3 linked regions of the Mus musculus genome follow. The protein of the gene in region 2 binds, or shares a complex with, the protein of the main gene of each other region. Links are inferred from orthologs where the notes say so. Each region holds a gene or a part of one and is shown on either strand. Other genes may lie near its edges.

Evidence for each region.
Region 1: the proteins of Cdc42 (region 2) and Fmnl1 are in contact, whole or in part, in a crystal structure (PDB 4YDH), measured with the Homo sapiens proteins. The link is inferred for Mus musculus from reciprocal best matches to the Homo sapiens genes CDC42 and FMNL1. Residues at the interface, in NP_001034891.1 of Homo sapiens: Val36, Phe37, Glu62, Asp63, Tyr64, Asp65, Arg66, Leu67, Arg68, Pro69, Leu70, Pro73, Lys94, Glu95, Lys96, Pro99, Glu100, His103, His104, Lys131, Asn132, Gln134; in NP_005883.3 of Homo sapiens: Cys45, Met46, Asn47, Leu48, Pro49, Lys52, Leu56, Tyr59, Lys63, Glu66, Leu67, Asp70, Gln71, Phe74, Tyr83, Arg122, Glu123, Glu125, Thr126, Ser127, Leu128, Arg129, Thr130, Asn131, His132, Ile133, Val136, His228, Met232, Arg235.
Region 3: the proteins of Cdc42 (region 2) and Was are in contact, whole or in part, in an NMR structure (PDB 1CEE), measured with the Homo sapiens proteins. The link is inferred for Mus musculus from reciprocal best matches to the Homo sapiens genes CDC42 and WAS. Residues at the interface, in NP_001034891.1 of Homo sapiens: Gln2, Tyr23, Thr24, Thr25, Val36, Phe37, Asp38, Asn39, Tyr40, Ala41, Val42, Thr43, Val44, Met45, Ile46, Gly47, Tyr64, Arg66, Leu67, Leu70, Lys153, Lys166, Asp170, Glu171, Ile173, Leu174, Leu177, Glu178, Pro179; in NP_000368.1 of Homo sapiens: Lys230, Lys231, Lys232, Ile233, Ser234, Lys235, Asp237, Ile238, Gly239, Ala240, Pro241, Ser242, Gly243, Phe244, Lys245, His246, Val247, Ser248, His249, Val250, Trp252, Phe258, Leu263, Asp264, Leu267, Leu270, Phe271, Ala274, Gly275, Ile276.

Annotation. Positions count from the first base shown.
Region 1 is NC_000077.6:103,184,568-103,188,215, forward strand, and holds part of Fmnl1 (formin-like protein 1), read left to right. Parts: intron 1-1,053; coding exon 1,054-1,162; intron 1,163-1,843; coding exon 1,844-1,920; intron 1,921-2,045; coding exon 2,046-2,139; intron 2,140-3,648. UniProt on the Homo sapiens protein: May play a role in the control of cell motility and survival of macrophages. Plays a role in the regulation of cell morphology and cytoskeletal organization. Required in the cortical actin filament dynamics and cell shape.
Region 2 is NC_000070.6:137,326,631-137,330,278, forward strand, and holds part of Cdc42 (cell division control protein 42 homolog), read right to left. Parts: intron 2,495-3,648; coding exon 2,385-2,494; intron 2,281-2,384; coding exon 2,083-2,280; intron 1-2,082. UniProt on the Homo sapiens protein: Plasma membrane-associated small GTPase which cycles between an active GTP-bound and an inactive GDP-bound state. In active state binds to a variety of effector proteins to regulate cellular responses. Involved in epithelial cell polarization processes.
Region 3 is NC_000086.7:8,088,044-8,091,791, forward strand, and holds the start of Was (wiskott-Aldrich syndrome protein homolog), read right to left. Parts: upstream 2,449-3,748; 5' UTR 2,386-2,448; coding exon 2,248-2,385; intron 1,942-2,247; coding exon 1,801-1,941; intron 1,300-1,800; coding exon 1,213-1,299; intron 1,096-1,212; coding exon 993-1,095; intron 873-992; coding exon 831-872; intron 735-830; coding exon 681-734; intron 1-680. UniProt on the Homo sapiens protein: Effector protein for Rho-type GTPases that regulates actin filament reorganization via its interaction with the Arp2/3 complex. Important for efficient actin polymerization. Possible regulator of lymphocyte and platelet function.

The sequences.
Region 1 (3,648 bases), on a different chromosome or scaffold from region 2:
AGCACCCAAGTAAAGAGTTGGTTACAGTGGTTGTGTGCTTATAATCCCAGCACTGGAGAGGCAGACAGGAGATCCCTGGCAGCCGACCCTCACTGGTGGGTCCCAGGTCCCAGTGAGAGATCTTGTTTCAAAAGAACAGATTGGGGGCCGAGGAGACTGCTTGGTGGGTAAAGTGCTTCTGTGTCAGAGTGCAGGCCTGAGTTTGGGTCTCTAGCGCCCATGTAAAAATTGGGCACAGCGGCATGTACCTGGGTCCTCAGTACTGGGGAGATAGGAGGATAGCTGGGGCTTGGTGGCTTGCATATACAAAGGTGGTATCTACTATTGCTGGGTATGGTGATATATAGCTGTAAAGGAGGCCAGCCTGGGCTACATGAGACTCTGCCTCATTCACCCGACTCCCCCAATATGGAACTACTGTTGCCATTCACTTTACTGAAGTAGTAAGCTGGAATGTTCTTGAATCTAGGCACTTTGAGTTTAGTGTGCCTCTCAAGATGGAAGATGAGGCTGAGTGATTGTGAGCACCACCTTGTGGCGACATTACTGTTGTCTGGCTATTTCCAGGCTTGGTCCATCTATCCCTGGTGGGCTTTCCACTTGCAAGCTCTCCTCCTTCCTTCTCTCCCTCTCTACTTCCTGTCTCCCTCCCTCCTTTCCTTTTTGAGACAGGCTCTCATATAACCTAGCTCTCAAACTCCCTACTATGTAGCCCAGGCTGGTTTTGAGTTCCAGTCCTCTGCCCTTACTTCCCAAATACTGGAATTACAGGCATGTGCCATTGTGCCTGGCTCACAGCAGCCCTTTTAAAAAACCAAGTAATTTTAAGGGCCTTTGCTTCCTTGGCCCACCCTCACTCCCTCCCCCAGCATGCCTGCCCCTGGGGAAGGCAGCCTTCAGCTGGCCAGCTGAGTCAGGTAGATAGGAGACAGCAGCTTAGAGTTCCTAGATCGATCCCCCTCACTCCAAAAGGCATCTTACTGGTATGAGGAGCAGGAAGCTGGGGGTTGTGGGGAGGGTGTCTGACCCTGCTGCCTCTTCCTCATCCACCAGGCTGACCCCTGCCCACAGCAGGAAGGCGCTGAGGAATTCCCGAATCGTCAGCCAGAAGGATGATGTCCACGTGTGCATCATGTGTCTAAGAGCCATCATGAACTACCAGGTCAGCCGGTGGCATGGGATTGGGGCCTCAGGAGATGGCTTGTCCTCCTGGGACCTGTGCTAGCTGCTGATGTCCTAAGACCCTGGGTCACCTCTTGCCTGGAACCCTACGAGCCTGGGGTCTGGGCTTTGGTGGGGGTCTGGAGGCTGGGAAGTTTTGAGGGAAAGCCCTGGGTTTGATTACATTCATGTCAGGTCTGCTGAGATGGCCTTGGGTGTGGTCAGGGGGAAGCAAGGGGCTCAGATGGGACCAAGGATGGTTGGGTAGTGGAGTCCATGGGAGGGCCAGCTGGTACAGCTCCACTTCTGTGGTTCCTCATCTCTGTAAACTTTCTTAAAACGTTATGGGATTTTGTGTGATTTTTTTTTTTAAGTAACTATTTCATGGCTGTCGGCATCTTAGATTACAACTTTGTATATGCCCCATATGTCAAAAGGTTGGACATGCCTGCATAGCCTCGCTATGTCCACAGTGCTTGGCACTGGCTTTTGACAAGACAAAATGACCTTGGAAAGGGGACAGGGTTGGGCCTTGGCTCCTTAAGAAGAGGTAATGGCTGGATGTGAGGAGTGTCCTAAGCTTGGAGCACTAGAGGCCAGAACAGCATGGCACAGACTACGCGGGAGTTGCTGGAAGTTTTGGGGACCTGCCTAGAGGTGCTAACCTCTCCTCTCTCCCCAGTCCGGCTTCAGCCTTGTTATGAACCACCCAGCCTGTGTCAATGAGATCGCTCTAAGCCTTAACAACAAGAGCCCCAGGTAAGGCCTATATTCCTAACTGGTTTTCTGCTTCCATCCTTGCAAAAACTCCTTCCCCCATTGTCAAGCCTGCTGCCCAGGCTCACCCCACCCCAGCTCCCCTGTCCTTCCCCTTCTCTTCTCAGAACCAAGGCTCTGGTACTGGAGCTGCTGGCAGCTGTATGTCTCGTGCGGGGAGGACACGACATCATCCTTGCGGCCTTTGACAACTTCAAGGAGGTACTGGATTTTCCTACCCAACACCCCTGCCTCCCCCTCTGCCCCCCATCCTTCTAGAACTGCTTGGAGTCTGGCTGCCAGAAATTGTAGCCTCCTCTGATAGGGCATGTGGAGACACAGGGTGGATGTTTGGGAAATACACAGGATATTGGGATGGGGAAATTCAGAATGTCAGGTTTAGTTAGTCAGGGGTATGGTCTAGTACAGTGGTTCCAGCCTTCCTAATACTATGACCCGTTAGTACCGTTCCTCATGTTGTGGTGACCCCCCCCCCCCACCATAAAATTATTTCATTGCTACTGCACAACTGCAATTTTGCTACTGTTCTGAATAGTAGTGTTACAAGCTCACAGGAGGTTCCTGCATAGTGACATGGTAAATAAGCCCACTGTGACAGGGCTGGAAATCTGGTGCAGCAGTTAAGTGTGCTCCCTGCCTGACGGTGGGGATCTGAGTTCAGATCCAAGCACCCATGTTATAAGTCAAAGTCTCTAACCCGAGTCTGCAGAGAGAGGAGACTGGATGCTTGCAGACGCTTGCTGATTTCCAGCCTAGCTGAGGAAATATGGCCTCCAGGTCCAAGGAGAGAGCCTGCCTCCTAGAAATAGGCAGAGTGAGAGAGGGGACACCCATGCTGTCTTCTGGCCTCTGCATGTACACACAGGCACATGAAACTCCCTCCTCTGCCACTATACACACACTCACACACACACACACACACACACACACACACACACACACACACTCACACACATACACACACTCACACACACACACACGCTCACACACACACACACATACATACACATGCTCTCTCTCACACACACACACATACACACACTCACACTCACACACATACACACACACACATACACACACTCACACACAAGCTCACACACACACATACACATGCTCACACACACACACACACACACATACACATGCTCACACACACACACATTTATCAAAAAAAAAAGTTTTAAGGCAGGGTCTCACTTTGCAGCACTGGCTGTCCCGGAACTTGATATATATAGACCAGGCTGGCCATGAACTCACAGAGATCCACTTGCCTCTGCCTCATGAGTGCTGGGATGAAAGGTGTGCACCACCATGTCCAGTCAATGAAATCATCTTTAAAGCTGGAGGTAGTTGAGCAGCTTGGTGCAGGCATTTGGGAGGGAGAGCCAGGAGGACTGGGGCTTCAAGGTCATCACCGGCTATATGGTGAGTTCAAGACCAGCCTAAGCTATAAAAAAACATGGGGGGGGGTGCAGGGGGAGGAATGCCAAAGTAAAAACCAACCCAGCACAGACTGCCTCAAAACAGGGGTAGGGGGCTGGGTGTGTCCATTCATTCTTTTATTGATGTTCACTGAGGGCTGATTATGTAGCAGGCACAGAAGCAGGCCCTTAGGATGGATATCTAAATAGGTGAAAAGGCATCGGAGGGCTGGGATAGTAATACTCATTCAATAAGGCACTCGCTTTGCAAGAATGAGGATCTGAGTCC
Region 2 (3,648 bases):
CCATGTGACACAATTCCATTCTGGGATACAAACAGCAAACAGCTGCCTGCCATCTGTGCTATGGGATAAAGAAGCTGCAAGTCATGGCTTCATCCACGTCTAACTAAACCGCAAGCAACACATGACATGAGCTGACCACAGAAACAGGCTACCAAGGAAGCTTTTATGTTCTATAAAGGTCAGAAATGTGCCCAGTCTCTAATTATAAACTATATTTATAGATTTAGAAATTTTATTTTGATACTAGAAGAGCAAAATCAAAATCTTAATTTTTAAATCTAAACTTAACAGAGATAAAACACAAAGTCCTAGCCAGGCGGTGGTGGCTCACACCTTTAACCCCAGCACTTGGGAGGCAGAGGCAGGTGGATTTCTGAGTTCGAGGCCAGCCTGGTCTACAAAGTGAGTTCCAGGACAGCCAGGGCTACACAGAGAAACCCTGTCTCGAAAACAAAGAAACAAACAAACAAACAAACAAAAAGCCCCACAAAGTCCTAATCTTAGGAAGCTACTAAATTATTGTCAACTGTTAAGGATAATTAAGAAATGCAAGTGAAGGGGCTGGAGAGATGGCTCAGCGGTTAAGAACACTGACTGCTCTTCTGAAGGTCCTGAGTTCAAATCCCAGCAACCACAAGGTGGCTCACAACTACCCATAATGAGATCTGACACCCTCTTCTGGAGTGTCTGAAGACAGCTACAGTGTACTTACATATAATAAATAAATAAATCTTAATAAAAAAAAAAAGAAATGCAAGTTGATAGTAACCTTATAAATAAATGATCAAATCTTTTAATGTGTCCAAAAATATATTTGAGGTTTCTCTATGAATTGACGTAATTACAAGATGAAGTTTTACTTAGCCCCTTGTTTTATGTTTGCAAGGTACAGTTTAGCGCAGATACCTGAAAACAGACAAAGATTGTTTAACTCAGATATGCTCGGTGGGTACTAGCCCTCAAGCCTGTCAGAGACCTGTTGACTATGGCATTTAATATGCTTAAACTTATTATATGACAGTGACTCCCAAATCCTAACAGTGATACACAACCCACCTCTGCAAGTTCTTCAAGAAGATATAGGCAGAATGACAAAAGACTAAACCTGGATTAGAGTACATTGACCAGTGGACAGACTGGCCCCTGCCTTGCCCACTAGGGCCCAGCCTGCACTGTGGGCAAACCGGACACGGGAAAACTTACTGCTATGATTTATTGCTAAGTGTTGCTGAAGACAAGATGAGGTCAGTCTCTCCCATGTTCCTTCTCCACAAAAAAAAAAAAGGCCTCCCTCTTCTGGCCTAATGGCCAAAGACCACCTCTGACCACAGTGCAACAGGACCACAGGAATCTGGGACAACTGTCTAGATAGTGGTCTCTGTCATTCCAGACTGCTCAGAGCACTGGAATCTCCCAACCTTAAACAGGCATCCCAGTCTTCCAGAGCTCTGACATCAATGTCCTAATTTCAACTAAGAAGCAGTTACAGAAGAGATTATGTTGCCCTTATCATAAACAAAAGGTTGAAATGTCAGGGCCAAATTCTGACAGATGGACAAAAAGCCCTCACTCCTCAGGAAGTCATTTCCTTATCACTGGCAGAAGGGACAAATTGCTACCTAGGGTGCCTATTAGCATAACCAAGTGCATGCTGACCTCCACCCACTCCTTACCCTCAACTTCTCCAGCTCAGAAGCCCCCATCCCACCCCACCCCACTCCACCTCCAGCTTCTCATTCCCTTCTATTTCAGCCCTCTCTTGGTCCTCCTCTCTCTTCTTCCTTCAAACCCCACCACCACCATGGCCAAGTCCAGTTTGCTGGCCATGTTCAGTCTATTTTCTCTCTCATCTCTGGATTCTTCCTGATGTCTTTCCTTCATATCTACAATAAAAAACCTTCCTCTCAACTATACCTTGGAATAGTCATGTCAGTTTATGTACTCTGCAGAACTACACTCACACAGTATACATTCACGGACAAATTTTTAAGGGAAAAAAGAAAGAATAAAAGGAAAGAGCCTCTGTATCCTAATGCTCAAAACAACTGACTACAGAGACATAGGTTCCAGAGCCCTCCTTACCTGTGTGAGGGCAGAGCACTCCACATACTTGACAGCCTTCAGATCCCGCGCCAGCTTTTCAGCAGTCTCTGGAGTAATAGGCTTCTGTTTGTTCTTGGCAAGTTTCTCAATAGTAGAGGGGTCATCTCTGAGATCAATTTGGGTCCCAACAAGCAAGAAAGGAGTCTTTGGACAGTGGTGAGTTATCTCAGGCACCCACTAAAAGCAAGGTTTTAAAATGTTTTGTTAATCCACAAGCCACTGAAACTGTAACAGGGCAACAGGAATTCTGTGCATGTTTCAAAGGGCAGAACCTGACTTACCTTTTCTTTCACATTTTCAAATGAGGATGGAGAGACCACTGAGAAACATACTAGAAAAACATCTGTCTGTGGATAACTTAGCGGTCGTAGTCTGTCATAATCCTCTTGCCCTAAAGAAAGAGTTAAGAGAGGTTGGCAACTGAGATTTGGTATCCTCGCGGCATTAAAATCACAGGTCAGGGGCTAAGGCTATAGCTATTTAGTATACAGAGTGATAACCTAGCACACATACAGCCTTGGACTCAAGCCCTATACCACATTAAAAACAGGCATGGTTGGCACAAGCTTATAATCTCAGCACTAGTGAGACAGAGGCAGGAAGGTTAGGTGTGACCATGAGATCATATATCAAAAAAATTGTCAAAGATGAACATGGCGGAGCTAACAAGATCACTCAGTGGTAAAGATGACATGCCTAACAACCTGAATTCAGTCCCCAGAAAACAGACGGTGAAAGGAGAAAATCAAATCCCCCAAGTTTAGCTTCTTGACCTCCACATATACATGCTATGGCATGTGCTTCCACATATATACATACATACATGTAATCTAAAAGGAAAAAAATGGAGATAGTGTGCATGCCCATAAACCCAGAGCTCAGGAAGCAGAGGCAGGAGATCACTACAAGTTTGGGTGGTCTACAAACCAAGCTCCAAGTCAGTCAAAACTACATAGTAAAAGTCTTGTTTCAAAAAAGAGGTGGGCAGGGGACTACAGCTCCGCTAAGACTTCAGGTATTCAGCTCTTAGCATATCAGCCATTAGTGACAAAGCAATTTTGCTAATCAAAGGTATAGCTTTGTAATATGCTGTTTGGACAATACTCTCTGTGCTGGTTCTATTTATATATGCCACTAAATTAAACAGCAAGGAAATTGGCATACTACTTTTTTTTAAGTTCTTTATTAATAACTTAGTAGTAATGTAACAACAATAAATCATTACTACAGGTGTAGTTTAAGAAAAAAATCATATTTACTTCTAGCTACTAAAGATCACAGTGAGACCACCTAACAAAATACTCTACTGAAGGCATCCACCATCCATAATAACTACCAGACTAAGTCCAATGCTCGATCCATAGGTGCATGTTAAAGTCAGTATCTGTAACTGGAAAGGCCTAGAAAAAAGGAACTTGGCAAGAATGAAGGAGATGTAAAAAGAATAAAATAATTAGGAGTTAGCCAGAGGTGAAAGGGTCACAAAATAAAAATGGCAAAAACTAAACATAGGAAGTCCTAAGAAATGGAAAGACATCCTATGCT
Region 3 (3,748 bases), on a different chromosome or scaffold from region 2:
ATGGAGGAAACAGATGAGAGAGGTCTAAACAAGGCCTACAGAGCGGTGGATGGATCCCAAAAAAACACTGAAAGAGTCACCAATTCATGTGTCTTTACCATTCAAGTACTGACTCATCCATTCTCTGGCTGGTTGGCTAAAAAGCTTATTAAGTTATTCATTCATTCACACCTAATCATTTGATCTTCCTTGGATAGAATATTCTCTCATCCCACTTTTGTGATTGAATTCTTTAAATGTATATTATGTGTGTGTGCGTGCAAGGCACATGTGTGGAGGTCAGAGGACAACTTTGTGGAATTGTTTCTTTCCTATCTTTATGTGGATTCTGGGGCTAGAACGATGGTGTCTAGGCTTGGTGGCAAGCGCTGTTCCATCTCAGCGGCCCTCTTTGTCCACTGTTCATCTGTTTACATGCCCATTCATGAATTCTCTGAACCACCTATTCATTACTTAAATGCAAGTAAGTTTTCATCCATTTACCCAAATACTCATGTACCTATTTATCTATAAGCCATCATCAGTCCATCTCCCAATTTAGCCATGTCTGCCACCAATCTATCACCGTGCTCATCTGTCCACCCACCATCCACCTCTTTATGAATTTACAGACAGACTCAAGTACTCATTCATCTACTAACCCCCACCATCTCTCCAGTGATGTGAGAATTGCCACTTACCCCCATGATCTCCACCCGGGTGTGGGGGCACAGGTGGGAGCCCTCCTCTTCTCTCTGGAAAAATGGAATGAGTTCAGATCTGCCCTAATCTTGCTCCCCCACATCTCTGGGTTAGTTCTTCATAACCTTTATTTGAACGAGAGGACTCACCCTCATTGATTGGTGCTGGTGGTGGTGGTAGCTGGCGTCTTTCTGTGGTTAAATAGGGTGGACTGAGAGCCAAAACCATGAGAGGGGCTTTTCCAGCCTCACACCCGTGCACTCACCTCTGTCTAACCTACCTCCCCCCAATTCCCACCAAGGCCTCCTTACCTCCGCTTTGCCTCTGATTCCTTTTTTGTATCTTCTCCTGCACCAAGGCCCGGAAGGCCTGGGCTTCACTCTCATCCGCAAAGTTCAGTCCTACTTGACAGTCCTATACATGCCTTGGGGTCAGCAAACTTCTAGTACGCCCCCCACATCCCCGGGACTTTCTCATCTCCTCCCCATCCCCCCCAACTGCAGCGCAAGGATGCACAAGCTGCTCACTTACATCTCCAGCAAAAGTGTGGAAGAACGGGGTGGGAGTGAGATAAACCAGCTGAGAGTACAGCTCCTGTTCCCAGAGTAGCCGACCAGCCTGGAAAGTGGGGGGAGGTGCATGCTGAAATCCAGGCATCTTGGGTGGCAGACCACTGGAGCATGGTGTCCAGGTTTGGTGTCCCGGGGTTTTATTTAAAGCTCTTCAGCTTCAGCTCACTATCAGAGTTTGGGTTCTAGGTGTCTGAGAGTCAGACACCGATATGAGAGATATGGGTTTGGGAGCCAAAGCCTATATGTAGGAGTTGAAGGCTCCACGTTGTGAATTTAAGATTCCAGTTCTAAGAGTATTCAACATGATTTAGAACATATTTGAGGCTGAGGCTCAGGTATTTGTGGAGCAGATCTAAGTCTTGATATAAACCTTCTGAGGTCCGTCTTCTTAGACTCAGAATGAGAAAAACACAACTTGGGATCTGTATTGGTCTTTGGTTCTGGAGCTCAGGGGGTCACTGATATGAGTGAAGGCTTGGAGCTGTGGACAAAAACTGGTTTTGTAAGTTGGGAACTAGCTTTCCTGTCCAGTGGGGCATGGGGTCACCTGTAGGCCATAAAGGCGGATGAAGTAGGACTTCTGAGGGTTATCCTTCACGAAGCACACAGCCCCGCAGTGTTCCATGGTCCAGTGCTCAGCTCCAGGGGGCAGTGCCAGGTAGAGCTGAACAACTGTGGTAGCCAGTGTCTAGGAGGGGAGAGCAGGGGTCAGTGCAGTGTGCTCATGGGTCACCAGGCCTGGTCCTTGCCTGCCTGTGGCTTTCATGAGCTTGGGGAAAGAGCTGTAGCCAGGAGGAAGGGGAGTAGACATCAAGATAATGGGGAGTGAGTGAATCTGAGGAGAGGAGATGGGGAGAAGGGGGATACAGGGATGATGGGAACAAGGAGAAGGGAAATATGGGTAAGAGGAGGAAGCAGAACGGGGAAGAAGAAGTAGAGAGGAAGAAGAGGAGAGGGAGGGAGACTGGGAGGACCAGGAGATCTCCCAACTCACCCAGCATTTTCGGCCAAGAAGCTCAAAGAGTCTCTGGTTTTCATGGTCCTGGAGGAGGTTGGAAGGAATGTTCTGCTGAACGGCTGGTCCCCCTCGGCCCCCAGGCCTGCCTCCTACAGGGCCAGGGCCACTATTCATGCTGCCTTCTGCCTTAGTCCTCTCCAGCTAAGCTCTGGGTGCAGGGTAAGAAGAGGAACTTCCGCAGTGAGCAGGGGAACAGGAAGTACAATAAACCACAAGGGAAATAAGTCCTCCAGGGCCCCCCAGAGGGCCTGTTCTCCTCTCTAGGACAGGCATGGGCCCTCCTCCATTTGCGTGGCTAGATCCAAGTTTGTAATGAGCTCAGGGCATCTTCCTTTCTTCTTTCTTCCCAACGTCCTCTCCCTTTTTGTGCGGGGCCATTTCCTTCTGACAGGCTTAGATCAGCCTTGCTCTAGTCGGACACTGAGGGAGAGCTACGCCATCTGCAGAGCTTCTCCTTCAGGGTAGCTACGCAGAGAGTAGTCACAAGTCTGTGTAGCCTCCTTCCGTCTTCCAAAAGCACCGACTTGGCCTGGGGTTGAATCTAAGGCTCCAGGTGCTAAAGGGCCATTGCATTACAGCTTTTCCTTTTAAAGGCATATTGAGCCGGGCGTGGTGGCGCACACCTTTGACCCCAGCACTCAGGAGGCAGAGACAGGCAGATTTCTGAGTTCGAGGCCAGCCTGGTCTACAAAGTGAGTTCCAGGACAGCCAGGGCTATACAGAGAAACCCTGTCTCGAAAAACCAAAAAAAAAAAAAAAAAAAAAAAAAAAAAGGCATATGAACTAATCTCTAGCTTTGGACGTTGCCAATGATATAGAAGGCCATGACTCACTTCCCCATCTTTTACTCTTGCCCCCTGTAGCTCCCTAATTACTTTCTTTTTCATTTATTTATTTCATGTATGCGGGTACACTGTCGCTGTCTTCAGACACACCAGGAGAGGGCATTGGATCTTCATTACAGATGCTGTGAGCCACCATGTGGTTTCTGGGATTTGAACTCAGGACCTCTGGAAGAACAGTCAGTGCTCTTAATCACTGAGCCATCTCTCCAGACCCCAATTACTTTCTTTTGTAAAATTTATTTTTATTTTATGCGCCTTGGTGTTTTGCCTACATGTATGTCTGTGTGAGGGTGTCAGAGTTACAGACAGTCCTGAGCTGCCATGTGTGTTCTGGGATTTGAACCTATGTCCTCTGGAAGAGCAGTCAGTGCTCTTAACCACTCAACAATCTCTCTAGCCTAAACTCAGACCCCCACCCCTTTTTTGTTTTTTGTTTTTGTTTTATTTGGTTTTTGTTTTGTTTTGCTTTGCTTTGCTTTGCTTTTGTTTGTTTGTTTGTTTGTTTGTTTGTTTTGAGACACGTTTTCCCTGTGTAGAGCCCTGGCTGTCCTAAAACTCACTCTATAGACCAGGCTGGCCTTGAACTCACAGAGATCCATCTGCCTCTGCCTTCTGAGTGCTGGGATTAAAGG